Xenopus tropicalis: one gene and its partners. The protein of the gene in region 1 purifies or fractionates together with the protein of each later gene. This does not show direct contact. Links are inferred from orthologs where the notes say so. Each region holds a gene or a part of one and is shown in the gene's direction. Other genes may lie near its edges. The genes, in order: cul5, rab40b, asb2, socs7, cops3, spsb4 and asb6.

Region 1 (3,500 bases):
AGAACAGCCCTATTGGGTTTATTTAATGGTTAAATGATTCCCTTTCTCTGTAATAATAAAACAGTACCTGTACTTGATCCCAACTAAGATATAATTACCCCTTATTGGGGGCAGAACAGCCCTATTGGGTTTATTTAATGGTTAAATGATTCCCTTTTCTCTGTAATAATAAAACAGTACCTGTACTTGATCCCAACTAAGATATAATTACCCCTTATTGGGGGCAGAAGAGTCCTATTGGGTTTATTTAATGGTTAAATGATTCCTCTTTCTCTGTAATAATAAAACAGTACCTGTACTTGATCCCAACTAAGATATAATTACCCCTTATTGGGGGCAGAACAGCCCTATTGGGTTTATTTAATGGTTAAATGATTCCCTTTTCTCTGTAATAATAAAACAGTACCTGTACTTGATCCCAACTAAGATATAATTACCCCTTATTGGGGGCAGAAGAGTCCTATTGGGTTTATTTAATGGTTAAATGATTCCCTTTTCTCTGTAATAATAAAACAGTACCTGTACTTGATCCCAACTAAGATATAATTACCCCTTTTTGGGGGCAGAACAGTCCTATTGGGTTTATTCAATATTTGAATGATTTTTAGTAGACTTAAGTTATGGAGATCCAAATTACAGAAAAATCCCTTATCCAGAAAACCCCAGGTCCCGAGCTTTCTGGATAACAGGTCCCATACCTGTAATTGGATGCCAGTATGGAAGAGTTTAATGTCGTATTGGTTGGGCATTTGGTTTCCCTTCCTTCATGTATGGCAGGGATCCCAGGCAACTTGTAGCCATTCCTGAGATTAGTCGCCCACAGTAGCCGAAGTTTAACCTCAGGCAACTGATCTCTGTGTGCCATTGCCCTTAAGGCCCTCAAAACACTGTGCTTGCTGTGCCCTTGCAGTTGTGTTCCTGCACTTCTCCCCGCAGTGAGTTGCATATTGAACCCCATTTTGCAAAGGTATGGGGACGTCATGCTGAGCACTGAAAATAATGCTAGGTACAATTCTGCACAGTAGCATCATATGCAATGCCCCTTGCGACTGCAATGGTCTTGGCATTCTGGTAAAAAAAACACTGAGAAAAAAACATGGCACTTGCTCACTGCACTTGTGGGCGTAAATGGATCCCCATTATTTATAAATGTACAGTAAGTGTTAAACATTTGGTATCCTTACTGCTATTTAATAGGTTGGTGCACAGTAGATATTGTTCCCATTTAGCACCCTCAGCTAGACATATGGGAGAGCTAATTATGACAGCCCTTCGTTAAGGCTTCTAGCTCTGTGTAACTGAAAGGGAACGGGCCCATAGCTGGACTGGTCACGGCGCTGGCCTATTTATAGCCTGCTGCATAGCAGCCCTGTGTAGCTATTTCTGGGAAATGCCTGTTGCAGTCTGTGCAAAACCTAAAATATAACCCTGCCCAAAAATTTCTATCACTGTAGCTGCGCACAGATGTATATTGGCTTGATTCATTCGATTATCACATAAACATTTATGGCAGGGAGAAAACATTTCCAAAACAATTTTTAAAAGTAATTGGACTTAAACAATTTCTGTACCTTACATTTTAGCCATTCATGGAAACTGGCGAAATGACATGTACTGTTTTATTATTACAGAGAAAAGGGAATCATTTAACTATTAAATAATCCCAATAGGGCTGTTCTGCCCCCAATAAGGGGTAATTATATCTTAGTTGGGATCAAGTACAGGTACTGTTTTATTATTACAGAGAAAAGGGAATCATTTAACCATTAAATAAACCCAATAGGACTGGTCTGCCCCAATAAGGGGTAATTATATCTTAGTTGGGATCAAGTACAGGTACTGTTTTATTATTACAGAGAAAAGGGAATCATTTAACCATTAAATAAACCCAATAGGACTGGTCTGCCCCAATAAGGGGTAATTATATCTTAGTTGGGATCAAGTACAGGTACTGTTTTATTATTACAGAGAAAAGGGAATCATTTAACCATTAAATAAACCCAATAGGGCTGTTCTGCCCCCAATAAGGGGTAATTATATCTTAGTTGGGATCAAGTACAGGTACTGTTTTATTATTACAGAGAAAAGGGAATCATTTAACCATTAAATAAACCCAATAGGGCTGTTCTGCCCCAATAAGGGGTAATTATATCTTAGTTGGGATCAAGTACAGGTACTGTTTTATTATTACAGAGAAAAGGGAATCATTTAACCATTAAATAAACCCAATAGAGCTGTTCTGCCCCCAATAAGGGGTAATTATATCCTAGTTGGGATCAAGTACAGGTACTGTTTTATCACAGAGAAAAAGGAAATAATTTTTAAAAATCAAAATTATTTGCAAAAAATGGAGTCTATGGAAGGAAGCCTTTCTGGATACAGGGTTTCAGATAATGGATCCCATACCTGCAATGTCTATAGGAACATGTCATTATAAATTTGCTCTTGCTGACTTTTATAATTGTACTTGATATTTTATTGCTGTTTCTGTACAGAGATGTGTATGTGCACATGTATGATCACATACAAGTAATTAAGCAGGCCTTGTTCAATCAGCTAAAGGTGTCGATATGAAAGAATAACATTGGCTTGAAGTTAAATGAAAGTTTTATTTTACAGATGTAGGACCAAGGAACTATAGCTAAATGGCATTTGCTTTCTCTTACAGAATAAAGGTTCCCTTCAATTTGAGGACAAATGGGACTTTATGAGACCTATAGTTCTGAAACTTTTACGCCAGGAATCCGTCACAAAACAGCAATGGTTCGATTTGTTCTCGTAAGTATTAAGAGAAAAACTGTGCTAGTTAAAGTGATGGAGGAGAAACAATTTCCTGTAATGCCTAAAAGATAATCAAGGTGTGTATTAAAGGGCATTTGAAGGTAAATTTACCCTTTATATTACTCCTCCATGGAATCCTGCTTCCCACTCATGTACAGTGGCACAGTATGTTGCTGACTGATGACAAATATGCTTTAAACATTATTAAGCATCCACTGCACTTAATGGATTTATTATATTAATAACCATTCCTCTTTTAAACCATACTGACCTCAGATAATGGAGTTTGTAAATAAGGCAAGAAATGGCCTCACCAGGACCCCATAGCATGGGAATGGCATTTACAGGGTGAACACATATTTGGCCATGGTCTAGTAACCTGTAACAACCAACCAGATGTTTGTTTTTAGCTTACAAGTCAAATTGGCTATTATTATTATTATTAATAAAAAATAGACTTCTAAAAAAGTATTTAGGTCATTGGCAATTTTAATGCTTGAGTTACAGGAAAAAGGTTCCTGCATTAATTTGCTTCACATGCACGCAGGATCCCACAAGACAAAGCAGGATCAATCCTATGTATACAAACACTGTTCTGAGCAGTGTACACACAAGGCTATACTGCCCTAAATGTGTAGTAGCAAAGGTGGTTCTTAGTATTGTCTATGGCAGGGTATTTTCTGGCATTTTGTAGTTGCAACTAAGATTCTCGTTATATG
Region 2 (4,228 bases), on another chromosome or scaffold:
TTCCCAGAGGCTATTATCCCACTGCTACTATAGGCACCATCTCTCCCTACTATACCTGCTATCCCACAGCCCCAGTCCCTTCCCAGAGGCTATTATCCCACTGCTACTATAGGCACCATCTCTCCCTACTATACCTGCTATCCCACAGCCCCAGTCCCTTCCCAGAGGCTATTATCCCACTGCTACTATATATATTGAGAAGGCCAATAGCCTAGAGCCCAAGGGACTGAATCCAACAGGTTGGGAGAATGGTGAGGGGGGGTCTGAACGATATGCAAAGGCATTCAGTGACACTGGCGGAGCCTGAAGGCTTCCTGTCAGTTATACATAATATTCTCTATACAATGCCTTTTGTGGGAAAATAAGGTTTCAAAACAGCCCCAGCCGATTAGATCATCTCATTGTTGATGAAAGTGTCCGACTCATGCACGGCCCCCCCCCCGACAGTTACTCAGCAGTGTTCACCAGTGAGGGTGTCACCTGTGCAGGTTTCTACATTCCCACAACTGGGTTGGAGGCAGGTTGGTGACAGGGTTGGAGGCAGGTTGGTGACAGAGTTGGAGGCAGGTTGGTGGCTGGGTTGGAGGCAGGTCGATGACAGGGTTGGAGGCAGGTTGGTGACAGGGTTGGAGGCAGGTTGGTGACAGAGTTGGAGGCAGGTTGGTGGCTGGGTTGGAGGCAGGTCGGTGACAGGGTTGGAGGCAGGTTGGTGACAGGGTTGGAGGCAGGTTGGTGACAGGGTTGGAGGCAGGTTGGTGACTGGGTTGGAGGCAGGTTGGTGACAGGGTTGGAGGCAGGTTGGTTCTGTGTCATTTAAACCCAGTGGGAAATCAGCGACACTGCGGCGTTAGTGCAAAGAGAAAATAGGTTTGTTAGTAGGAAATGGGCCGGTTCCTAAACGGAGCGAGGAGAGGGGGAACGTGCCGGGGCAGGTCCCAGTAACTCAGTGGGAACCGGTTTAATAGAGAGACAGAGGGAGAGATTATATTGCACTGTGGGAACTGCCTGCTGATCTGGATAAGCGCCCCAGCCGGGGGTAAGTGGGTTTGTGTATCAGACAAAGCTTTATGTATAGAATTGGTTTCTGTGGGGGGATTGTGTGTAACTGCCCCGGGGTCTGGGCTCCTCCCATTGTATCAATATAACGTATATATCATACAGCTAAACTGGCACTTAGCAACGGGAACACTCACACGGAACATTGTATCAGAAATGGGAAATTATTATGTACTAGTGAGTGTGTGTATGTGTGTGTGTGTGAATATCTCCTAACGCCTCCGTCCCATGATGGATGGTTGCTGCAGCCAATCTGGTGTGGCCAATCCCTTAGCAACTGAGCTAGAGACCAATGAGAGTGGGGGAGAGGCGGGAGAGGAGCTGCATAGGGAGCGCAGCCCAGCAGTTCCCAGAGCAGGATGTAGCGAGGCAGGAGCTGGAGGGACAGGTAGGTGCTACTGTATGGCACTGCCCCGGGCTTTGCCCTGTCTAACCTGTGGGGCAGTCTCAGCTGTGTATGGGGTAAATGTATTGTGGGGGTGGGGTGGGGTAATAAGGTGTGTGTGTGTGTGTGCTCACTTACATCTGTGTATATAAACATACACACCTCCCCCTCAGCAGCTTCATATGTATATATACACACAGGCATACCTATATCTACATACACTTACATACACACTATGCACATACATACATACACATATACATACGTACCATACTTCTATCGTACATGTACCATGTATACATATATATTTACATACACTTAGAACAGTGGAGCCCTGTTCTATAAGGAACAGTACTAAATAACGCCCCCCCCCCACCCCCCACTGACAGCTGCTCAGTACAGACTGAATGTACATACACTTATATACAGGTGGGTACCAAATAGGCAGGCTGCCCAGGGCAGTATATTGGGAAGAGCAGGGAAGGGCAGGGGACAGTTGGCACAGTGGGGCAAGATGGCATCAGTAGGGCAAGTTGGTGGCAGTCAGGTGGGAAGACAGGAGGGCAAGATGTAACCATAGAGCTAAATGCCACTCTCGCCCCCCTTCTGTACATGTAATACAGCTGCCCACACTGCCCTAAATGCCTAATGAGCTGTCAGGCTAAGCCATGATAATAGGTATGATTTCACTTACTAGCGAGCAAGACCTGAGCAGAGTTTTGTCCTGTATGGATGGGGCTTACCTGCATTTGACTATTGTGCAGGGTTCTTAATACTTGGATGTTATCTTTAAGTAATATTGGTTTGGGGGTATCAGGTAGGGTCTGTGCCACTGTGACAGAATGCTCTGTTATACAGATAGCTAGAATCTCAGCCATAAAGCAGGGCAGGACTGCTGCTTACAATGGGTGGGATCCGGTAGGGTCTGTGCCACTGTGACAGAATGCTCTGTTATACAGATAGCTAGAATCTCAGCCATAAAGCAGGGCAGGGCTGCTGCTTACAATGGGGGGATCAGATAGGATCTGTGCCACTGTGACAGAATGCTCTGTTATACAGATAGCTAGAATCTCAGCCATAAAGCAGGGCAGGACTGCTGCTTACAATGGGGGGGGGGGGGGATCAGATAGGATCTGTGCCACTGTGACAGAATGCTCTGTTATACAGATAGCTAGAATCTCAGCCATAAAGCAGGGCAGGACTGCTGCTTACAATGGGTGGGATCCGGTAGGGTCTGTGCCACTGTGACAGAATGCTCTGTTATACAGATAGCTAGAATCTCAGCCATAAAGCAGGGCAGGGCTGCTGCTTACAATGGGGGGATCAGATAGGATCTGTGCCACTGTGACAGAATGCTCTGTTATACAGATAGCTAGAATCTCAGCCATAAAGCAGGGCAGGACTGCTGCTTACAGTAATTTCCTTTTGGTTCTCCCTCAAGCTGAACACATTGGCATGAGTTTCCCAGCCGGAGTGCTCCTGTGAAATTACTTACGTGCTTCTGCCATGATGGGCTGATGGAGAAGGCCTGTAACCGTGTGTGCCTCGGGGAAGAGGATGACCCACAGAGCCAGCCCAGTGAAAGCCTATGACTTCCTGCTGAAGTTCCTTTTGGTTGGGGACAGTGATGTTGGCAAAGGGGAGATACTGGCAAGCCTGCAGGATGGATGCACAGAGTCACCTTACGGTTACAATATGGGTAAGTGCTGTGATGGTAGATAGTATAATTGCTTGTATCCTGGGGGAACGGGGGATATTTTGGTGCTTAGCTCACACACAGTTGGCATTTAATGCCCATTCAGTGCCAGTCTATAGGGTGATGGGCATCAGCAGGTGCAACAGTGGCATTCCCATCCCATAATCCCTGTAACTCATCACTCTTATCCGCGTCCTGAGTTATGTGCCGGGACATATCCCATGTGCTGTGGCTACTGGTGGCCTAGTAGGCTGGGCTCCCATCACCCTGTGCCCAACACCCCCTCTTCAGCCCCACTAACCGGGCACTACACCCTGGCACACGCTGGGAACGCCAGCAGAGACTATGCCCTCAGCCTTATTATTTACCTTCCTCTTCTGACTCTTTCCTGCTTTTAAATGAGGGTCACTGACCCCGGCAGCCAAAGAACTATTGCTCTGCGAATTGTATTGTTACTTTTTATTACTTATCTTTCTATTTAGGCCCTCCTCTATCCATATTCCTTTCTCTCTTTCAAACAACTGCCTGGTTGCTAGGCTAAACTGGACACTAGCAACCAGTTTGCTGCTGAAATTCCAAACTGGAGAGCTGCTGAAGAAATAGTTAAATTAAACTCCAATTAATGGAAACCAATTGCAAATGGTCTCAGAATCGCTACATGATACTGAAAGTTAATTTAAAGGTGAACAACCCCTTTAAGGTAACAGAACCAGATGCTTGGAATTCCTCCCTAAGCCGTATTTAAGAATAGATTTTTGGGCCTCGGCACAGAGTCTGAGGGATATTTAAAGACACTCAGGGGCTTTTATCTGGCTTGTAGATGTCAGTGCCCCCTGTTAGGGAGACAGCTGGCCATTAGCACGGCAGGGGATCAAGTGACTATATATATATATATATATATATCTTGCAGTCAGGTGCGACACCCCCCACAATGCAATTGCCCCCAGTCACTGCACTTTTACATTCACAGGGAGAAATCTGCTCATTCTCCCTAATGCTGTGTATTTACCGATCCTCTGTATTTAGATATAAGATTCCTATAACACATGTGCCTTGTGGGTCTGCCAAGGACAGGGGGTAAATGAAGTATT
Region 3 (4,215 bases), on another chromosome or scaffold:
ACCATTCTTTTGCACTTTTTTATTTTTGTCACTTTTACAACATACGTAGTTTTTTCTATGTTAAAACTCCATTCTTCATCTGCCTTGTTTCACAAATGCTTGACCATTTCACTATATAAATAATTTTTTATGTGCATTGTTACTGACAAACATGAAAATGTATAGGTGATTGAAATTTACATTAGTATGGCTGGCCTAAAGGAGCACTCTGTGGGTAATATAAAGGTTCACTTGTTATGTGTGTGGACACCTTAAAGGTGCACTGCAAAGGAGGGTCCTATAGGGTGTGGGCAACCTGAAAATCTGAAGGTACACAGTAGCCACATGATCAAACTTTGCATCACCTATCTATGTCAGCTGATTTATATGTGTGCTGCTAAATAGGTACCCAATTGAGTGTGCTTTATTAAGAGATGGCTCTCAGGTGTATTCTAAATATACACCAAAAAGCAATACATACTGCAGATCTAAACTTGTGTTATTAATAAAGTATACACTGGAAATGCAGGCAGGCACTCAGGATCACCAAAACATGTTTCAAAGCAGCTCAATTTAGAGTCAAAACATTTTCAGTTTATTATGTCCGTACACAATGCCAAAAAGCCTTACACATTTTGTACCAAGAGGGGTACTTAGTCATAGCCATAATGTATGGGGCATATTGTAAAAGGCAAAGAAAACTACCAAACCATTCCAGTGAAGTTTTGAAAGAAAAGGACATATTCTTGCATCTGGAGGCATTATCTTTCCACTCATACCAAAAGGAGGATGTTCCAGTGGAAGAGCTCTCAGAGAGGTAGGTCTGCATGTGCAAAAAGAAACTGCTTTCTCCATGCTGAAGAACAGGACATGTATTTAGCATTGGAAATTGTAATTCATTACAGTCATATGCAAATGCCTACATATACCTGTGGTTCTTCCACACTGTACACAATTAACAGCCTCTTGTAAATATGCCTTTAATTTACAATCAGCCATTTTCTGTACTTTTTTTTCACAGAATATAGAAAACAAATGTTTGACTGAGCCAAAAAAAAGTTACAATTAAAAGAAAATTACGTTTACGTCTAAACAATAAAATCTTTCCAACTGTTATTGCATTCCTTCTGGAAGAAGGAATTAAAACATATATTTATATGGCATGAGTCTGGGATTGTGCCAAATAATTTTAAGTGTTCAGTTGGAAATCAAGGACTTGTTACAAGTGATGACTTGGCTCAGATACCTCTAAGGAAGAATACCAAAATCATTTCTTTTTTTCTTAAGAATGTATCCTTATAAGGCCTATTGTCAGGATGTATAAACAATGAGACAAGGGAGGAGTGAGCCCTCTGTGCAACTTCTCCACGGGATCCAGTAATATCTGCTGCAGGCCAATGCAACAGGGAATATTATTCTGGATGGCAGAGCTGGCTCTTCTAATCTCTGCATAAGAAATCTGAGCTACATGACAGAGTTTTGGCTTGTCGTGTCTGATCATGCGGTGCTCCAGAAATAAACTGTAGCCTACAAAGTCTGTGTTACAGGGCAGTTTCGCAGAGGCAGAGGCAACCTGCTGCAGGGGAGGACAAGGGTGCAACTTATGGGCTGTCTGTGAGCCCTAGGCACTTTAACAAGCTCATTTCATTCTCCTGGAAATATAAAGGTAACGCTAGCATGCATTCTACCAGCATCCTCAAACAATGCATTCTTTTATAATGCTGCACTGAATACTATTCAATGAAGTATTTGGTGTTTTACAGAGAAAACAAATATGAGAAGGCAAATAATTAAAGCAAGTTAGAGCAAACTTTGTACTTTGCTCTGAGAGCTTCCATTTTCTTTTTTATGTATTCAAGGATTAAGAATGCTTCTCTTCTTAAATTATAATTTATTTGCAAATCACTATAGTCATTTTATTTAAAATGCTATTCATGCTTTTAATTTAGCTTGGCTACCTATACCACTGGCAATCCCAGACCGAGACTGAGCACAGAGTCTTAACTTAATGTCTGGGCAGTAACTTGCAAGGAATGTAGCAGTCTCCAGCAATCAGCCAAGTTATTTTATTCTTGCAAATATTTAAAAAAAAATGAAATCCTTTTAAAAAGTATACACATACAGCCATGCATTTTCGCTGCTTTTTCACTTCTTTGCCATTCCAATTAAGGGTCACAGAAAGGAACCATATTTAGAAATACCTTGCTAAGATTAAAAATAATTACCATAACAAAAAAAAAATAACCAACAGAAAGAGATTTTTTTCCTATTTTTAGCTTTTTAGTTGATAAACTGCAACTTTGAACATGAAAGGATGTCAGGCACAGCTTTTCCAACATTGATCTACTGTGCAGTAAGTAGCTTATCAATAGCAATATGACATGTAGTGTGGTGCAGTACAAGGTGCACTGACATTGGATAAAGATGCATGGTCAGGCCAAGCAAGTCAGTGTCATTGATCTAGACAGACAGGCTGGTCTTTGCCACGGAACTACATTTGACCTGGTAATGATGAATATACAGTGTTCTCCTGGCCAAATTTATTTCACAGGCAGTTTTATATAGACTGACAGATGGTGCTGCTCTGGATTTGTTTACTTGCTAGGTTTGATCTTTGGAAGATGCCAATATTGGTGCTTCAAATTTAGTTTCCCGTATTAAGTGATATTGCATAAGTGAAACATGTTATTATGTCTGACTGTTGCTTAACCACAGTTCAGTCAGCTGTTAAAACCTATAAGTAAACATCAAGCAATTTATCAGATCATGTATCATTATACGTAAGAGGGAACTTACATAAAGGGAACTTCTGAGGCTGACTAATTACACTATAACAACATTTATCATGTATCTTTTTTTATAACAACCAAGGAGCAAAATCTCTGCAACAGGATCCTGCTTTGAATTACAGTGATGAATGAAGTTAAATGGAAGTTGGCAGTTGCTCATGTTTAAAAGAGTGTTGTATTTTGCAAGGTTCACACTGTAAAACGATATGCACTGTGCTGAACTGCTGAGCTTGCTTACTGGGATCAGTGCTGGGAAAATTACACAAGCCTCCAGCCAAGGCAATATGATATAACTTTAGTAATACATTTACATTTCTCTGTCCTATTTAACAGAATGCCTCCTAAGATTATAAGTACATGTTATCAAGTTTTCAAACATCAGATGTAAGTGGCTTAGAGACTCAAGATAGCTATGATGTTATGTATGTCACCCCTTGTGATGTAATGAAGTCCTGTTATTGGACAACATTACTGTCTATATGTGGCCAGCTAAAGGTTGCACAAAATGGTTGATTTGGCTGCAGGTTGATTTTAAAGGTGTTTACGAATACACTGTTTATAGATGGGATTTAATTACAGCTTTCAAGATAACAATAAACTGCTGATCACATTCGTATTAATAATTTAACATACATAAGACTGTACACAGAGTAATCAATATCATTTAACTTACTGATAATTCATTATAAATCAAGTGAAAGTAAATCTTTTTGTATAAGGCATTTTAAGGAATTCTTTTGTATGTATCCACTCTACAATCAGTGCTTAGCTTGAGGTTATATTATACTTTCCAGCTCTAAATGAGTTGTGCTCAAGCCAAGTTTGTACCTATTAAAATATAAATAAGAGAAATGACTATGATCTAGACAAGGTCAAACTTCAATTGCAAATTTCTTATTAAGAAACCTAAGTGATGAACACCCCGAATGCTAAGTAACCTTGTAAATATAATACTAAAGGAGTCATTTACAACAGTGTGAAAAGTGCAATTTTGGACACAATTCATCAAGTTTTGTGCCACAATTCCAGCATTGTGCCTGATTTTTGTTGCCACAATTACACACAATTCCAGCACAGTGTGCTTGAATACTGATGCAAATCAGGTGCAAGATGCATATAGCATTTCCAGGGTAAAGGTGTACATTTAAAATGGCATTTGCATTCAACTTACTGGACCCAAGTCTGGTGCATCTATTGATGCAAGCCACCGTTGAAACCTTGGTGTAACCACCAAGCCAAGGGGGGAAACAGTTTCAGAGTCACCCTGCATCACTTAATATTCATTAGAAAAGTCAGAGTTGAAACAATGTGCACCCATATGACAGAGCAGGAGCTAGTTTCTAACTAAATTTGTGGTGTTGCATGCAAAACATTTATTGGTCACAAGAAGTTTAGTGGTAAACAGCATGCAATAGATGGCTTCTTTCTTTTTTAAAACAGATTAATT
Region 4 (2,346 bases), on another chromosome or scaffold:
ACATCCCAGTGCAGTGCATTGTGGGTTATGTAGTTCCTGCATGCTGTCTGTAAGCTGTGGAGAAGTTGTTACAATTTGTAACATCAGTGTTTCAGTCCCTCCTCCCCTGCCAGGATTTCAAATGATGCAGAAAGAGAAGAGCTGTTTTGCAGCTGGATTTCAGCATATAAAAATGGTATTTATTTATACTTTCTGAAGATTACAGTGATATTAGGGGTTTCTGTGCTGTATGATGTAACACAGTTTGGTTTGGAAGCCGGAGTTCCCCTTTAATCAGCAGCCTAGGTATGGCATGGGGGTCTTGTTGACGTGTGCGGGTTTGGAGCAAAGGATAGGGTGCTGGCACTAAGGGAAGGTTCCGCCCTATCATACAGTACATGGCACTTAGTACCTCCCAGTCACTGCCACTGTTGCAGTCTGTGTGCAAATACAGTTTTTCCCTACTGTGTAATTACCATTTCCAAATTAGCAGTTAACACTAAACAGAGCCCCTGCTAAGTGGTGTTTTTGCAGAGCTGGGAGGTCTGTGGGTTCCAGCACGGTTGGAGGGGGGGGCTTGATCCAATCTCACAGCCTTGCAAGCCATTTGGTGCCTGTCAGAGGCAGGAACTGTTTTAGCATAAGCGCATGAAGTGGGTCAGTGTTCTGGGGTCGCTGACTTGTTAGCTGGGGGGGGGGGGGGGGGGGGCTGCCTTCTCTTTGATCACTTGCCCGTGTACTTACATCTCATTGAACTTATATGTTGTGCCTGTTATTCTAGCTGCTTCTGTTATCATTATTCCTCATATAGTGTCATTTATTTATGTAGCTCCAGCACAGACGCTCAGGCTGTGTATATGGTGGGGTTCTTAGCCTTTCTGGATGGGACCCAGATTAGAGAGGCATCAGTGTTGGGGGGGCATGTCAGTCCAAATGCAGCTTTAGTTAAGAGACAGTCATGATTTCACCTAGAGGTCATCCTATCCCTTTAAAAACTCAGAGTCCAAAATGAGGATTTGAATCTGTATTTCATCCCGATCTATGGCTTTTTCACCATTTTTCTGCACAGAAGTACTTTCCTTGTCATCTCAGTAGCGATCTAGTAAATACATGTCGAAACCAAAATCCTGTCCCTTTCTTTTCAGACCCCTCATCTCATACCTGCGCAAGTTCTATTATTACGACCCCCAGGAGGAGGTATACCTTTGTCTAAAGGAGGCGCGGCATCTGAACAAATTGGAGTCTGGGAGCGAGAGCTCCACGTAGCGAGGATTCCGCGCTTTCCCTCTTCATAGGCCGAACCAGGTAAGCAAATAGAGTCTTTGGATTATTCATTGTTTTATTAAAACTTTTATAGTGAATCCCACAGCCGGGACTGGTGTCAGTGGCACCCAGTAGTGATGTATGGGCCTTCCCGATTCCCATGGGATCCGCGGGTAGGTGGGATCACGCCAAGTTTCTGACACCATTGCTGGGCCGCAAGCGGGTTTGGGTTGAGCTCTTCCTTTAGCTCTCTTCCCACCTGTGCCCACTTCTGCCTCCGGTGTGAGCCTTTTATAGACTTGCCCCTCCTTGGCCCTGCCCCCTTCCGTGGGGGGGCGGGGTCTATAAATTTGAAGGCATGCTGGGTTAGGGTTGGTTGTGGGTAGTGGAGCAGTGGGTTAGGGTTGGTTGTGGGTAGTGGAGCAGTGGGTTAGGGTTGGTTGTGGGTAGTGGAGCAGTGGGTTAGGGTTGGTTGTGGGTAGTGGAGCAGTGGGTTAGGGTTGGTTGTGGGTAGTGGAGCAGCGGGTTAGGGTTGGTTGTGGGCAGTGGGTTAGGGTTGGTTGTGGGTAGTGGAGCAGCGGGTTAGGGTTGGTTGTGGGTAGTGGAGCAGCGGGTTAGGGTTGGTTGTGGGTAGTGGAGCAGTGGGTTAGGGTTGGTTGTGGGTAGTGGAGCAGCGGGTTAGGGTTGGTTGTGGGTAGTGGAGCAGCGGGTTAGGGTTGGTTGTGGGTAGTGGAGCAGCGGGTTAGGGTTGGTTGTGGGTAGTGGAGCAGCGGGTTAGGGTTGGTTGTGGGTAGTGGAGCAGCGGGTTAGGGTTGGTTGTGGGTAGTGGAGCAGCGGGTTAGGGTTGGTTGTGGGTAGTGGAGCAGCGGGTTAGGGTTGGTTGTGGGTAGTGAAGCAGTGAATTAGGGTTGGTTGTGGGTAGTTGGTTAGGGTTGGTTGTGGGTAGTGGAGCAGTGGGTTAGGGTTGGTTGTGGGTAGTGGAGCAGCGGGTTAGGGTTGGTTGTGGGTAGTGGAGCAGCGGGTTAGGGTTGGTTGTGGGTAGTGGAGTAGCGGGTTAGGGTTGGTTGTGGGTAGTGGAGCAGTGGGTTAGGGTTGGTTGTGGGT
Region 5 (3,500 bases), on another chromosome or scaffold:
CTGCTTTCAGCTAACCTATTGTTTCTTCTACTCCCATGTAACTGGAGGAGTCCCAAGCCGGACTTGGATTTCTTACTATTGAGTGCTATTCTGATACCTACTGGGAGCTGCTATCTTGCTCCCTTCCCATTGTTCTGCTGATCGGCTGCTGGGAGGGGCGGGGAGGATATCCACTGATTACCTAATAGCAGTTGGAATTAGTATTGGTTTATTCCTTATTTCCTTCTCTCTGGTTGTGACTCTTGAAACAATCTCTCCTCCAGGCCTGCTAATTAGCTGGCTTCTACTACATTGGTTCAGGAGTATTTTATTTTAGCTATTACCTATTTTTAGCAAAAACTTGTGCAATTTTAGCATCAGCAAATGTAAAACTGTAGCATTTCACTGTTCTGATTTCTACATTTTCCTTTGTAGCTCTCTCTCTTAGCGAAATGTTTTAAGCCTGCACTTGCGTACCTAGATGTAGATATGATGGATATTTGCAAAGAGAATGGCGCTTACGATGCCAAGCCCTTCCTGTGTTACTACTATTACGGCGGGATGATTTACACAGGCTTGAAGAACTTCGAGAGAGCACTGTATTTTTATGAGCAGGTACAGTTGTTTTTTAGTTTCTGAGGCCTAGCCGGCTCTCTAATGCAGATTGAATGGCGTCTTAAGGTGGCCATACACGCTAAGATCCTTGGTGAGGTCGCCAAGTGAGCGGATCTTCTCCCAATATCCTCACCTACGGGTGGGCGATATCGGGTTAATTCTGTCGTTTGGCCCTGGAGCCAAACGATCGAATTAGAGCGATGGGTATAGGCGTCTGTCGGTTTGGGAACCTCATCAACGAGCTGATGTGGTCCCTAATCCGACGGATTTTTAAACCTGCCAGATTGATATCTTGCCAATTTCAGGCCAGATGTCAGGCAGGCCTGTCGTTAGTGCCCCTACACGGGCCGATAAGCTACCATTTTGATTGCCATCTCAACATGGCATGTGTCCTACAAAGAGTAAACAACATGGCTTTTTCTTCTGCTGTGTGGCATGAAAGGGTTATGGTGGCTTGTGACAAATGGGCTGTTTTATAAACACTGGGCAAATTTGCACCTAGGCAGTAACCCATGGCAAGTAATCAGATGTTTGCTTCAGTTGTTCTGTCTGCAGCTGCTGAATAAATGTAATCACTGATTCGTTGCTATGGGTTACTGCCCAGGTGCAAATTTGCTCAGTGTTTATAAATGACCCCCACTGAATATATAATTGTAGCATCAGTTATGCATGCCAATGGCTGCTCTACGCAGTGTAGCAAGATTAATATGCCACCATAGCACGGTTTATATGGCAGTAACTTGTGCTTAATCAATATTAAGCATTTTTTTCCTGTATAGTCTTGCATTATTAGTAGGTCAAATGGAATGAAATGAAATGTTGTTAACCCCTGTAATGATTTTGCTTGGTTTGTTTCTGCAGGCTATAACTACTCCAGCCATGGCTGTTAGTCACATAATGCTGGAAGCCTATAAAAAGTATATTCTAGTTTCCTTGATACTCCATGGAAAGGTTCAGCAGCTACCTAAATATACCTCGCAAATTGTCGGTAGATTTATCAAGGTAAGCTGGAACTAGTAGATTTGCTTAGATGTATTTTGTTGTGTGAAAATACAGCAAGTTAATTTCTCATGATTGTAAGTACTTGTAAGCAGGGACTTTTGTAACCCTTTTAAATAGTTTTTAATCCATAGAGGTGGGGAGAACAATTACTTTAACTTTTCTTTACCCCTTCACTTTCCCCCTCCTTCCTCACCATCTAAATCTGTAGCCATTGCATGGGCATCAGGCCCCCCCAATCTGGCACATACACAAGGTTTTGGGGTGATACAAAACTTGCCTTAATAACAGTGCCCACAAAATGGTGCCTGCCTGCTTTCTGTGATTGTGTAATTCCAAGACTGAAGGAAACAAGATTTATATAATTTATATAGTGGAAGTGAAGTTGCTTTTGCTTGACAAATACAACAGGTCCCCTTTAATCCTTAATGTTATGTAATTTTACAGACCTGTAGAAATGAATGTTTATTCATCTTCCGTTGCAGCCTCTTAGCAATGCTTACCATGAGTTAGCACAAGTCTATTCAACCAATAACCCAGCAGAGCTGCGGAATCTTGTAAGCAAACACAACGAAACCTTTACCAGGGACAACAACATGGGGCTGGTCAAGCAATGCCTGTCATCCCTCTACAAGAAGAACATTCAGAGACTTACCAAAGTAAGTGCCTTTCACTCCTCAGCGCACAGGGATAAGAACCCTCACTTGTATTGTTTTTATGCTGTGTAGTTTGTTCATAAAATGTTTAACGGCTACCCCTCTCATTGCAGACATTTTTAACGCTGTCGTTACAAGACATGGCTAGTCGAGTTCAGTTGTCCGGTGCTCAGGAGGCAGAAAAATATGTGCTGTACATGGTAAGAAGGGAAATGGTTGCTTCTCCCAACTTCCTTTATTATTGCTGTTAAATATAGTGTGGGCCAAAAGGAAATTGGCATCACTTGGAAGTGTAATGGACAGACTGTGCTGAGCCTCTGTCTAGTTTTCCTTTTTCAATTGATGTTAGACTTTTATTGCATTTATATAGTGAATAAAGTACCCCCTATTGTAAAATACAGGGATATTATAAGTCACCAAGGAGTTCCATGACCTTTATACAGGTGATAGAACTCCAAGGTGACTTCTAATATCCTAATATTTTACAACAGGGGGGTACTTTATTTATTATAATATACAAGTTTTAGTTAGTCATGTGACAGAAATCACTAAGCTCTGGTTATAACTGATTACATCACTAAGCACCATTTGTTAGGATATAATTTACAGTTTGGTCTTAATAGGGAAATGAACAAACTGTATACGATAATGATATTACAGTTATCCAAGTGTGAGGCCTGACAGTCAAGGGGCTATGGTATGTTATCATTGGGGATAGATCCATAAAAGCCTCCATAGGTTTTTCTATCACCTGTAAAGAGAGCTGCCATATTGTACCATAGGTCACTGTCACTGGGTTTGCTGCTGCTCAGATTTAGGCTGTTGTGCAGTCATCTCCTCCTTCTTTCTCCCCCAGATAGAAGATGGTGAAATATTTGCAAGTATTAATCAAAAAGACGGCATGGTGTGTTTTCACGATAACCCAGAGAAATACAACAATCCTGCGATGCTTCACAATATTGATCAAGAGGTGAGACGCATCTTTGTTTCATATAAATTGGGTCATAGTGACAAACTTATTTATTAATGTTTACCCAGTTTTAAAAATAGTCACTACTTGATAGAACTTTACGGTTCCTTTACATTTAACAATTAAAAGATTTTATTTTGCATATTTCATATTACAAACAATTAAACAAGAGAAAAACAAAGTAAAGAAGAAAGGAAGAAAGAGAAAGAAACGGGGGAGGGGAGGGTGAGGCTAAGGTAGCAGTTCTGGTTGTACCGGGTTACTAGTTATCCATATTCACC
Region 6 (3,966 bases), on another chromosome or scaffold:
ACTGTAAGCAATGACATCACTAAGCACCTACTGTAAGCAATGACATCACCAAGCACCTACTGTAAGCAATGACATCACCAAGCACCTACTGTAAGCAATGACATCACTTAGCACCTACTGTAAGCGATAACATCACCAAGCACCTACTGTAAGCGATGACATCACTAAGCACCTACTGTAAGCAATGACATCACTTAGCACCTACTATAAGCGATAACATCACTAAGCACCTACTGTAAGCAATGACATCACTAAGCACCTACTGTAAGCAATGACATCACTAAGCACCTACTGTAAGCAATGACATCACTAAGCACCTACTGTAAGCAATGACATCACTAAGCACGTACTGTAAGCAATGACATCACTAAGCACCTACTGTAAGCAATGACATCACTAAGCACCTACTGTAAGCAATGACATCACTAAGCACCTACTGTAAGCAATGACATCACTAAGCACCTACTGTAAGCAATGACATCACTAAGCACCTACTGTAAGCAATGACATCACTAAGCACCTACTGTAAGCAATGACATCACTAAGCACCTACTGTAAGCAATGACATCACTAAGCACCTACTGTAAGCAATGACATCACTAAGCACCTACTGTAAGCAATGACATCACTAAGCACCTACTGTAAGCAATGACATCACTAAGCACCTACTGTAAGCAATGACATCACTAAGCACCTACTGTAAGCAATGACATCACTAAGCACCATTTATGAGGCTACTGGTCTTTGGGTTTTGCACAGTATAATGGCATATTTTATAGTCCTTATTATCAGCAGCACAGGAACTAAAGCAGATTATTTCAGTATTACTATTATCAAGGTGACAGCAGCCCCTCACGCAATCATGTGAGTACAAAGGGACCGGCCTATTCAGCCCATAAACAAGTTACAGTTTCCCATTGACATCAGCGCAGCTGGGCAGGAATTTGACTTCCAAAAGCCCAATTAGTAACAAAGGGATTTAGGCCCCAGTGCCTCGCTGCATGACAATGGAGAGATCGGCAGAGCAGCCCCAGACCCCCCGGCCCCAGTGCCACCAGCAGAGCGCAGATCTCTCCCAGTTTCGGCAGCTGGTGGGCTCCTTCCATTGTGTGCGCTGGGAGGGGAGGCAGAGAGGGGCGTGGCTACGTGTTCCCCGTTCCCCGGCCATTGGATTAGTTAGTTGTGACTGATGAGATCAGCAGGGATCAGCTTGCAGGATGGGGCTCAGCGGCAGTAGCGGCAGGCTCTTCCCATCTGGGCTGTCTCTCCCGTACGGAGGAGCTGGGGGGCACAATCTCTGAACACAAAGCGGCCGGGGAAGGGATGAGGGGCCGCGGATTGTTTGCCGGATGGCTGTTCCGCTCCTTTCTGTGATCCCACAAGCAGTCGGTGCCTGTAGCGGCGCTGGGGAGAGCAGCCTGGAGTAACTTCTCGTGGGGTCCCACTGGTGCTAATGAAAGCCCCCCGCTTCTTACTTGCCCCTCACTACATGTGGGAGCTGTGGGATTAGCGCTTCTCTTACTCTTCCATCTCTTGTTCTCTTTGCCTTGGATTAGACCCGACTCTGTGGCTTTCTATCCTCCCGGCTGTATGGATCCCACCCTGTAAGGTACGTACCGAAGCGATCCCCTGGGAAACAATGGGATGCGTCTGTGGCCGGATCGCTCACTTCTCAGGTGCGATACAGTCTGACTTCATAAAGTGATTGCTCAGGGAAGCTAGGCAGCCGTTCAGCCATTTGGGGGCATCTTGCTGCCAGGGTCTTTGCGCCATATCTACTTTTCTTTTTTAATAATATATAGTGAGTGTAGCTATATACTGTATTGCAGAAATATTTCACAGGGATATTATACTGTCTAAATTTGAAAACAGCTCCACCTTTTTGTCTTTCCTGACAGTCTTTATGATTTATCTTTATTGGGGGGAGTGGGGGTAGTCTGTTGGAAGACTAGTGCTCCAGGCTTTCACTCTTATATGGATTTGTAGAGGGGGAACTACACTTATTCTTTTTATCAAACACTAGCAAGCTTCATAAATACACAGTTTGTATTCAGCTGCCTGGATCTGAAGAACACAGACTATAGGAGCTGTAGAGATGCAGTCCAATTATTGCTTTCATGCTGGATACATAATAACAGCTAACCAACTGCATATGTCTGTAAATCCATCAAGCTATTTGTGAACTATAACTCACATAATCAGCTTTTGGAAATGTACAAAAACAGAAGGCCAACAAGGATATTCTAGACACACACATATTTTTATTGTAACAGCTTACAAAGAATTGGCCTACTAAGTGTAGGAAATGGAACTACAGAGAGCCATCTACTGGCTGTATATGGTATAGCATGGGATGTTCCCAACATAAGGAAGCCCAGAGGTTAATTCTGACTTGGGGGATTCTGGGCACCTGTAGACACCTCCCTTCCCAAATCATTGCTCAGCATGCTAGTTCTAATCTGAACACCCAATTATTCTGGGCAAAGGCCTGTCTTCCTTTGTTTATGTGATTGCAAGCATTACAGTTAGCCTTTGTCTTTAGCTAATCATCTCAGGGCGAGATTGTCAGCAGTTTCACCCAACTCATTCACCATCTCTGTCTCTTGCTGTGCTTTCTTTTTGTGTGTCCTGTGTATCTTTCCCATTTACCAAGCTATCTTTTTCTATCTATCTGTCTATCAATCTATCTATCTTAATTGGCTTGCCTGCTTTTCTGCATAGGGGGAATAGTAAAGATAACCTTTCTTTGGGAGAATATTTATGATCCCTGCAGTGGTTCTTCCCAGATATTACTGCTCATGACGCGCTAAAGCGTAATCCTTGGCGAATGTGAGAACTCTCTGCAAAGTTGCTAGATGTGGTTTGTTTACTGTAACTGTTGCAGTTTCTGTGGAATGGCAGGATAGTTGTATATACTACAAATTCCAAGGAAAGCAGGATCCCAGTAAATAATGCAGATTGAATGGGGCAGCACTGGCTAGATGTGGCTCTTTCTCTTTATCCTTCAGATTTCCAGAGAGTCATAAATTTGCCTGGAGCAAATAAGCAGCTAAGCCTGTAGCATGGGGCGCCCAGCACATTGCTGAGCCAGCTATTTGGCCCTTGAAGGCAATACAACATCTATGGTCCCACCAGCATTCATTATTCATGTATGTTTATGTTCTTGGGGGGAGTGATGCCATTAGGTATTGCAGAGCATTGTAGGCTGTATAAATACAAAGTTTGCGTAAAGGCAATATTGAGTGTGTGTTATTTGCTTGTGTGTGGCGAATTCTTATGCAGCTCTGAGTACCAAAGTCACTGCAGAACTGTAGGGATTTTAAGGGTAAGAACATATAACAGTGAGCATTAGTGTTTGGAAGTGCAGGATCTGAAAACAGTATTACATGACTTAAATAGCCTTTATCATGGTCATATACACATTGTAATTGAAATAATTGGATCATGGGGGCATATTGGGAAGGTTACAACCACTGGTACTGTAGGCAGAACAACCTTGGTGGTACCCATTTGTTTCTGTAATGTGGGCCAGTTACTTTAGTAGTAATCTAATAATGTCCAGAGGTCTGTGGGTGTCTTAAACAGCCTGGGGGCATGTAAATCTCGTGAAGGGCTACAGCCAGCATGTGGGCCTCCACTTGCATAGCCATAAACGTCCTAATCGCTGACCATTACGGTCACATGTGTATTTTAGTGTTACAGCCAGGTTCCTGCACTGATAGTGCCCAGAACTGGCAAATGCTCAGATGGTTTGAATTAAGGAAACAAAGCAGTGGAAGGGGATTAGGCTGACTGCTCTATGAGGTCCGATAGCCAATGAATTGTGCAGGCGTTTGTGTATATTAAAGATATGCATACAGATGGTGTATATAAATATTAATATGGAGTTGCTTGATCTACACACACACACATTCATCAACATGACATATAAACATAACACATTTATGGGTATATTGACTGTCTTCT
Region 7 (4,096 bases), on another chromosome or scaffold:
GGTTTTGAGCTGTATTAAAAGGGGTATAGATTCACGGGAGGAGGGTGTTATTTTTCCCCTTTACAGAGCGCTGGTAAGGCCCCATCTAGAATATGATGTTCAGTTTTGGTCTCCAGTGCTTAAACAGGACATTATTGAATTAGAGAGGGTCCAGAGAAGGGCAACTAAGCTGGTAAAGGGTATGGAAAGTCTCAGTTATGAAGAAAGACTGGCCAAGATGCGCTTAAGAGGTGACGTGATAACTATGTATAAATATATAAGGGGATCATATAATAACCTCTCTAATACTTTATTTACCAGTAGGGAACCCACTCCGTTTAGAAGTAGGTAGGTTCCGTTTAAATATTCGGAAAGGATTCTTATAGCTTTAAGAAGGGGTTGGATGGCTACTTAACAAGTGAGGGAATACAGGGTTATGGGAGATCCAGGGACTGGTCCGATTGCCATCTTGGAGTCAGTAAGGAATTTTTTTCCCCTGCGGCAAATTAGAGAGGCTTCAGATGGTGTTTTTTGCCTTCCTCTGGATCAACTAGAAGTTAGGCAGGTTATATATAGGCATGAACGTGATGGAAGTACGTCTTTTTTCAACCTAACTTACTATGTATGGCAGAATAGGGATTCCCCTGTACTAAGCAAAATTCAGCGGGAACAGCCTCCTAAGGCATGAGAGGCTGCTAGGCTGCTTAACGTGCTGCCCTACCTGATTACGGTTGCCAAAAGGCAATGATTTTGCCAGGCTTGGTGCCACAGTGATTATTAGGTAAATGATATAGGGCTAGAATCAAGTGTATGACCCTAATAGCACAGTGGTGACACCCACTGGCACTAAATCAGGCCTATGAGGACCTCCCTCCACCAAACATGTATTTGCCTTTTCCCTTCTCTGGTTCTGACTGTTGAAACAATGTAGCAAAAGTTAAGTGTTAGTCAGTTGGCTTCTGCTACACTGTTTAAGGAGTCAGAATCAGCAATGTCGAGAGGAGAAACAGCCAGGCCTATACTGCTTCTAACAGGATTACATAAAAAATAATTTTCCAACCCCCTGTAATTAATATATCTATATATGTATCAGTATGAGCTACCCGCCCCGCTAGCCAGGCTACTTACTAACTAACCCCTGGCAGGATGGACTCTTCCGATTCCCCCCAACCCCGGCAGTCTCACATTTCAGTCCTAATATGAAACAATTTACAGCATTTGCCGGCACGGCTCACGGCTCATTAGCTAATTGGCGAGCGCCCTCTGCTGTCCTACATAACGCATCGCCATCTCCTTCATTCTGGTGCGCCTGCGCCTACAGCACGTCCAACAACCACGCCCACTCGCTGAGGAGCTCTGTGTTCCGTATTCAGCAGAGCAGCTTCCGGCGGGGCGTAGGTAAGTGGGAGATGTTTGTGTATGTTGCATGGGGCGCATAGATGTCATAGTTGTGACTTAAAATAGTCCCAAAATGTTTGAATGTGATCGCCATCAAGTCAAAACGCAGAAATCCTTATTTTGTTGTGAGCCCAGTGCAGGGCCAGGGACCGTGTGAGGGCTTTAGGCTATGTGCTACTTAGTTATAATGCAGTGTTATGGTTATGCTATTTGACCTTACATTAGCCTTCTCTGGGTTTCTAATAATGTGGAGGTGGGAAGAGGAAACAGCCCTATGACTGACTCACACCTGCCTGTGTTTTTTTCTGTACTGAAGGACCAGGCAGCAGTTCTGCTGGTGGTGGAAGATTGAGACTCTCTTGCCACTATGCCATTCCTCCATGGCTTTCGGAGGATTATATTCGAGTACCAGCCTTTGGTGGATGAGATCCTGGGGGCTCTGGGTATTCAGGACCCTGAACAGCCGGTGGCGGCAGACACCAGAAGCAGGTATTGGAGCCTTATCATTAGTAAGCGCTTAGAGTACCATGCTATTGGTGGCCTGGAATCACGTGTATTTTCTGCTTTTAGTTTCCTGGTTGGAGAGAGTGAGGAGTTCCTGGCGCTGAATGAGTTACTGGAGAGGCATTCTCAGTCTTCCTTTTACAAGGAGGGAGTCAGTTACTCGCTGCTGAAGGTGGCCGAGCTGGGGATGGTTCCGTCGGCCAAAATCCTCCTGCAGTTTGGGGCAGATCTCAGCTTTGAGGGTAGGTATGGTGAGCTCCTAATAAACTATGTTTCTAGTTAGTTTAAAGGTGGCCAAGGTTTGGTTGGATGATTCCAATGATTTTGAGCATGTTGACCGACCAAGTGGGACAGTCAGACCTTAGAACCTGACATTAGGGCAATTAGATATTGTGGAGGAAATAAGAAGGGGCTGATAGAAACTGTCACAGCTTGGGGGCCCATAGGGAGACTCTGGAACTGTGGAAGCCAGTCCGACCCTGGATCCGCAGCTCCTCTTCACTTTCTGCAGTTCTGATTGGTTGGGTTGGTGGCTTGAACAAAAGGAATGTTAGATTGTGGCCATGTGTATGTATGGCCACCAGTATGTTATGAATCTGTTTATCAGGCTGTGGCTTGTGTGCTGCTAATGGGTTGGCCAAGTCACTTTCAGCCAATCTAGAGTGGCTTTGCAGCACCTTTTGCATTTAGCTCACCAGCTTTGGCCCATGGTGCAGAGGATATAGTAGCTGTAGCGCTTAAGTAACTCTCACTTGCAATGTTTCCCTCACCAGATCCGGTGACCTACTACACGGCGCTACACATTGCGGTACTGAGAAACCAGCCAGAAATGGTGGAGCTGTTGGTGCAGAGCGGAGCTGATATTAACAAGAGGGACAGGGTAAGGATCAAGTTTCAGCTGTATTCTGGTGTCCTGCAGTGGTTTGGTACCTGCGGGTAGGTTTTTCAGATGTAGTTATAGATGCGGGTCAGGTTGTGGGCGACCTATAGTCCTTATATTATCTATATTTTACCCCTTTAAACTTTTTCTTAAACTTCTACCCCCACCCACTTTTGATGATGTCACTTCCAGTTTAAAGGTGGTCAGCAAGTCACAGATCTGGTTAGGTAGCAGGTCCAAGCAGGTTAAAATGTGGGTTTGGGTTGCAGGTTGTGGGCTGAGGGACCGAATATCAAAAATGAGTTCTTGCACAGGCCTCTATCCTGGTGGCCTGTACCCTACTGGAAATACTCAGCATGTTTCTATACCTTATGCCAGGCCCTTAAGGGAATCCTATCCCCTCAGGCAAAGCTGATCTCTCCAGTTCTGGGTTCTGCATTCCACCAATGCACAGTGACCTGGGAGAGGCACAAAACTCTGATAGGCTGGCTTATCATTGTAAACAATTTCTTCTGCTGCTCACTACCAACTTACTTGGCAAAAACCCATTGTGTGAGACAAGGTGATCTAGAAGTGCAGTGTCACATAATTTACCTTTTCTTGTATTTTATCCTCCTGTATATACAGATCCATGAAAGCAGTCCATTGGACTTGGCTAGTGAAGAACCAGAGCGACTGCCGTGCCTGCAACGCCTGCTGGAGCTCAGCGCTGATGTAAATGCAGCTGACAAAAATGGTAAGTGGATTTAGGGGTTTAAGCTGGGTTTTACCCCTCCCTTAGCAGGAATGACAGGGACCTTGTATTCGGGAATGAATACCGCCTTAATAAACGGGAAGTCACATTGTATGTTAAACGGATTATTATGCAGGGAAGACGGCGTTATTACACGCACTGGCCAGCAGTGATGGCGTTCAGATCCATAACATAGAAAACATCCGTCTGCTGCTCGAAGGAGGTGAGTGTGTTCCTTCCTTGTGTCAGTCTGTCTGTGCTCTGAGATCATGGAATATTCCACTGTGGCCCAAATGATCACTACAGATTCCTTGTTCCAACCGTGCCTGGAGGCAGTGGTACAGACGCTGGTAAGAGAGTAGGCAGCATATTGACCCCTTATTAATCGCATCATATGAGTACTGGATTAGAACTTTTCTCTGGCGTTTGCCTGACTGGTCCGCATAGGCCCATAGTATAGTATTTGAACCGTTTTTGGTCCAAGCCTTTAAGGGGGAGCTCACCTTCCAAACACTTAGTTTAGCTCCTTGGAAAACACCAAAGGTGACCTACCCCGTTAAGAATAGTTCAGTGCAACACATATATAATGTGTATTGGGTCAG

Evidence for each region.
Region 2: the proteins of cul5 (region 1) and rab40b purify together in Homo sapiens (affinity purification with mass spectrometry; 5 studies listed by BioGRID and IntAct, counting the BioPlex papers as one, with this or other methods). This does not show direct contact. The link is inferred for Xenopus tropicalis from reciprocal best matches to the Homo sapiens genes CUL5 and RAB40B.
Region 3: the proteins of cul5 (region 1) and asb2 purify together in Homo sapiens (affinity purification with western blotting; 5 studies listed by BioGRID and IntAct, counting the BioPlex papers as one, with this or other methods). This does not show direct contact. The link is inferred for Xenopus tropicalis from reciprocal best matches to the Homo sapiens genes CUL5 and ASB2.
Region 4: the proteins of cul5 (region 1) and socs7 purify together in Homo sapiens (affinity purification with mass spectrometry; 4 studies listed by BioGRID and IntAct, counting the BioPlex papers as one, with this or other methods). This does not show direct contact. The link is inferred for Xenopus tropicalis from reciprocal best matches to the Homo sapiens genes CUL5 and SOCS7.
Region 5: the proteins of cul5 (region 1) and cops3 purify together in Homo sapiens (affinity purification with mass spectrometry; 3 studies listed by BioGRID and IntAct, with this or other methods). This does not show direct contact. The link is inferred for Xenopus tropicalis from reciprocal best matches to the Homo sapiens genes CUL5 and COPS3.
Region 6: the proteins of cul5 (region 1) and spsb4 purify together in Homo sapiens (co-immunoprecipitation; 4 studies listed by BioGRID and IntAct, counting the BioPlex papers as one, with this or other methods). This does not show direct contact. The link is inferred for Xenopus tropicalis from reciprocal best matches to the Homo sapiens genes CUL5 and SPSB4.
Region 7: the proteins of cul5 (region 1) and asb6 purify together in Homo sapiens (affinity purification with mass spectrometry; 6 studies listed by BioGRID and IntAct, counting the BioPlex papers as one, with this or other methods). This does not show direct contact. The link is inferred for Xenopus tropicalis from reciprocal best matches to the Homo sapiens genes CUL5 and ASB6.

What each region holds. Positions count from the first base shown.
Region 1 is NC_030678.2:159,962,315-159,965,814, reverse strand, and holds part of cul5 (cullin-5), read left to right. Parts: intron 1-2,668; coding exon 2,669-2,778; intron 2,779-3,500. UniProt on the Homo sapiens protein: Core component of multiple cullin-5-RING E3 ubiquitin-protein ligase complexes (ECS complexes, also named CRL5 complexes), which mediate the ubiquitination and subsequent proteasomal degradation of target proteins.
Region 2 is NC_030686.2:48,032,037-48,036,264, reverse strand, and holds the start of rab40b (ras-related protein Rab-40B), read left to right. Parts: upstream 1-1,428; 5' UTR 1,429-1,444; intron 1,445-2,882; 5' UTR 2,883-2,998; coding exon 2,999-3,140; intron 3,141-4,228. UniProt on the Homo sapiens protein: RAB40B small GTPase acts as substrate-recognition components of the ECS(RAB40B) E3 ubiquitin ligase complex which mediates the ubiquitination of target proteins.
Region 3 is NC_030684.2:88,133,093-88,137,307, reverse strand, and holds the start of asb2 (ankyrin repeat and SOCS box protein 2), read left to right. Parts: upstream 1-1,415; 5' UTR 1,416-1,645; intron 1,646-4,215. UniProt on the Homo sapiens protein: Substrate-recognition component of a SCF-like ECS (Elongin-Cullin-SOCS-box protein) E3 ubiquitin-protein ligase complex which mediates the ubiquitination and subsequent proteasomal degradation of target proteins.
Region 4 is NC_030686.2:10,984,498-10,986,843, forward strand, and holds part of socs7 (suppressor of cytokine signaling 7), read left to right. Parts: intron 1-1,124; coding exon 1,125-1,245; 3' UTR 1,246-1,284; intron 1,285-2,346. UniProt on the Homo sapiens protein: Substrate-recognition component of a cullin-5-RING E3 ubiquitin-protein ligase complex (ECS complex, also named CRL5 complex), which mediates the ubiquitination and subsequent proteasomal degradation of target proteins, such as DAB1 and IRS1.
Region 5 is NC_030685.2:15,774,622-15,778,121, forward strand, and holds part of cops3 (COP9 signalosome complex subunit 3), read left to right. Parts: intron 1-414; coding exon 415-594; intron 595-1,455; coding exon 1,456-1,596; intron 1,597-2,078; coding exon 2,079-2,252; intron 2,253-2,362; coding exon 2,363-2,449; intron 2,450-3,105; coding exon 3,106-3,219; intron 3,220-3,500. UniProt on the Homo sapiens protein: Component of the COP9 signalosome complex (CSN), a complex involved in various cellular and developmental processes.
Region 6 is NC_030681.2:123,623,032-123,626,997, forward strand, and holds the start of spsb4 (SPRY domain-containing SOCS box protein 4), read left to right. Parts: upstream 1-1,166; 5' UTR 1,167-1,676; intron 1,677-3,966. UniProt on the Homo sapiens protein: Substrate recognition component of a SCF-like ECS (Elongin BC-CUL2/5-SOCS-box protein) E3 ubiquitin-protein ligase complex which mediates the ubiquitination and subsequent proteasomal degradation of target proteins.
Region 7 is NC_030684.2:22,271,566-22,275,661, reverse strand, and holds the start of asb6 (ankyrin repeat and SOCS box protein 6), read left to right. Parts: upstream 1-1,296; 5' UTR 1,297-1,377; intron 1,378-1,693; 5' UTR 1,694-1,744; coding exon 1,745-1,866; intron 1,867-1,947; coding exon 1,948-2,123; intron 2,124-2,654; coding exon 2,655-2,761; intron 2,762-3,388; coding exon 3,389-3,497; intron 3,498-3,630; coding exon 3,631-3,717; intron 3,718-4,096. UniProt on the Homo sapiens protein: Probable substrate-recognition component of a SCF-like ECS (Elongin-Cullin-SOCS-box protein) E3 ubiquitin-protein ligase complex which mediates the ubiquitination and subsequent proteasomal degradation of target proteins.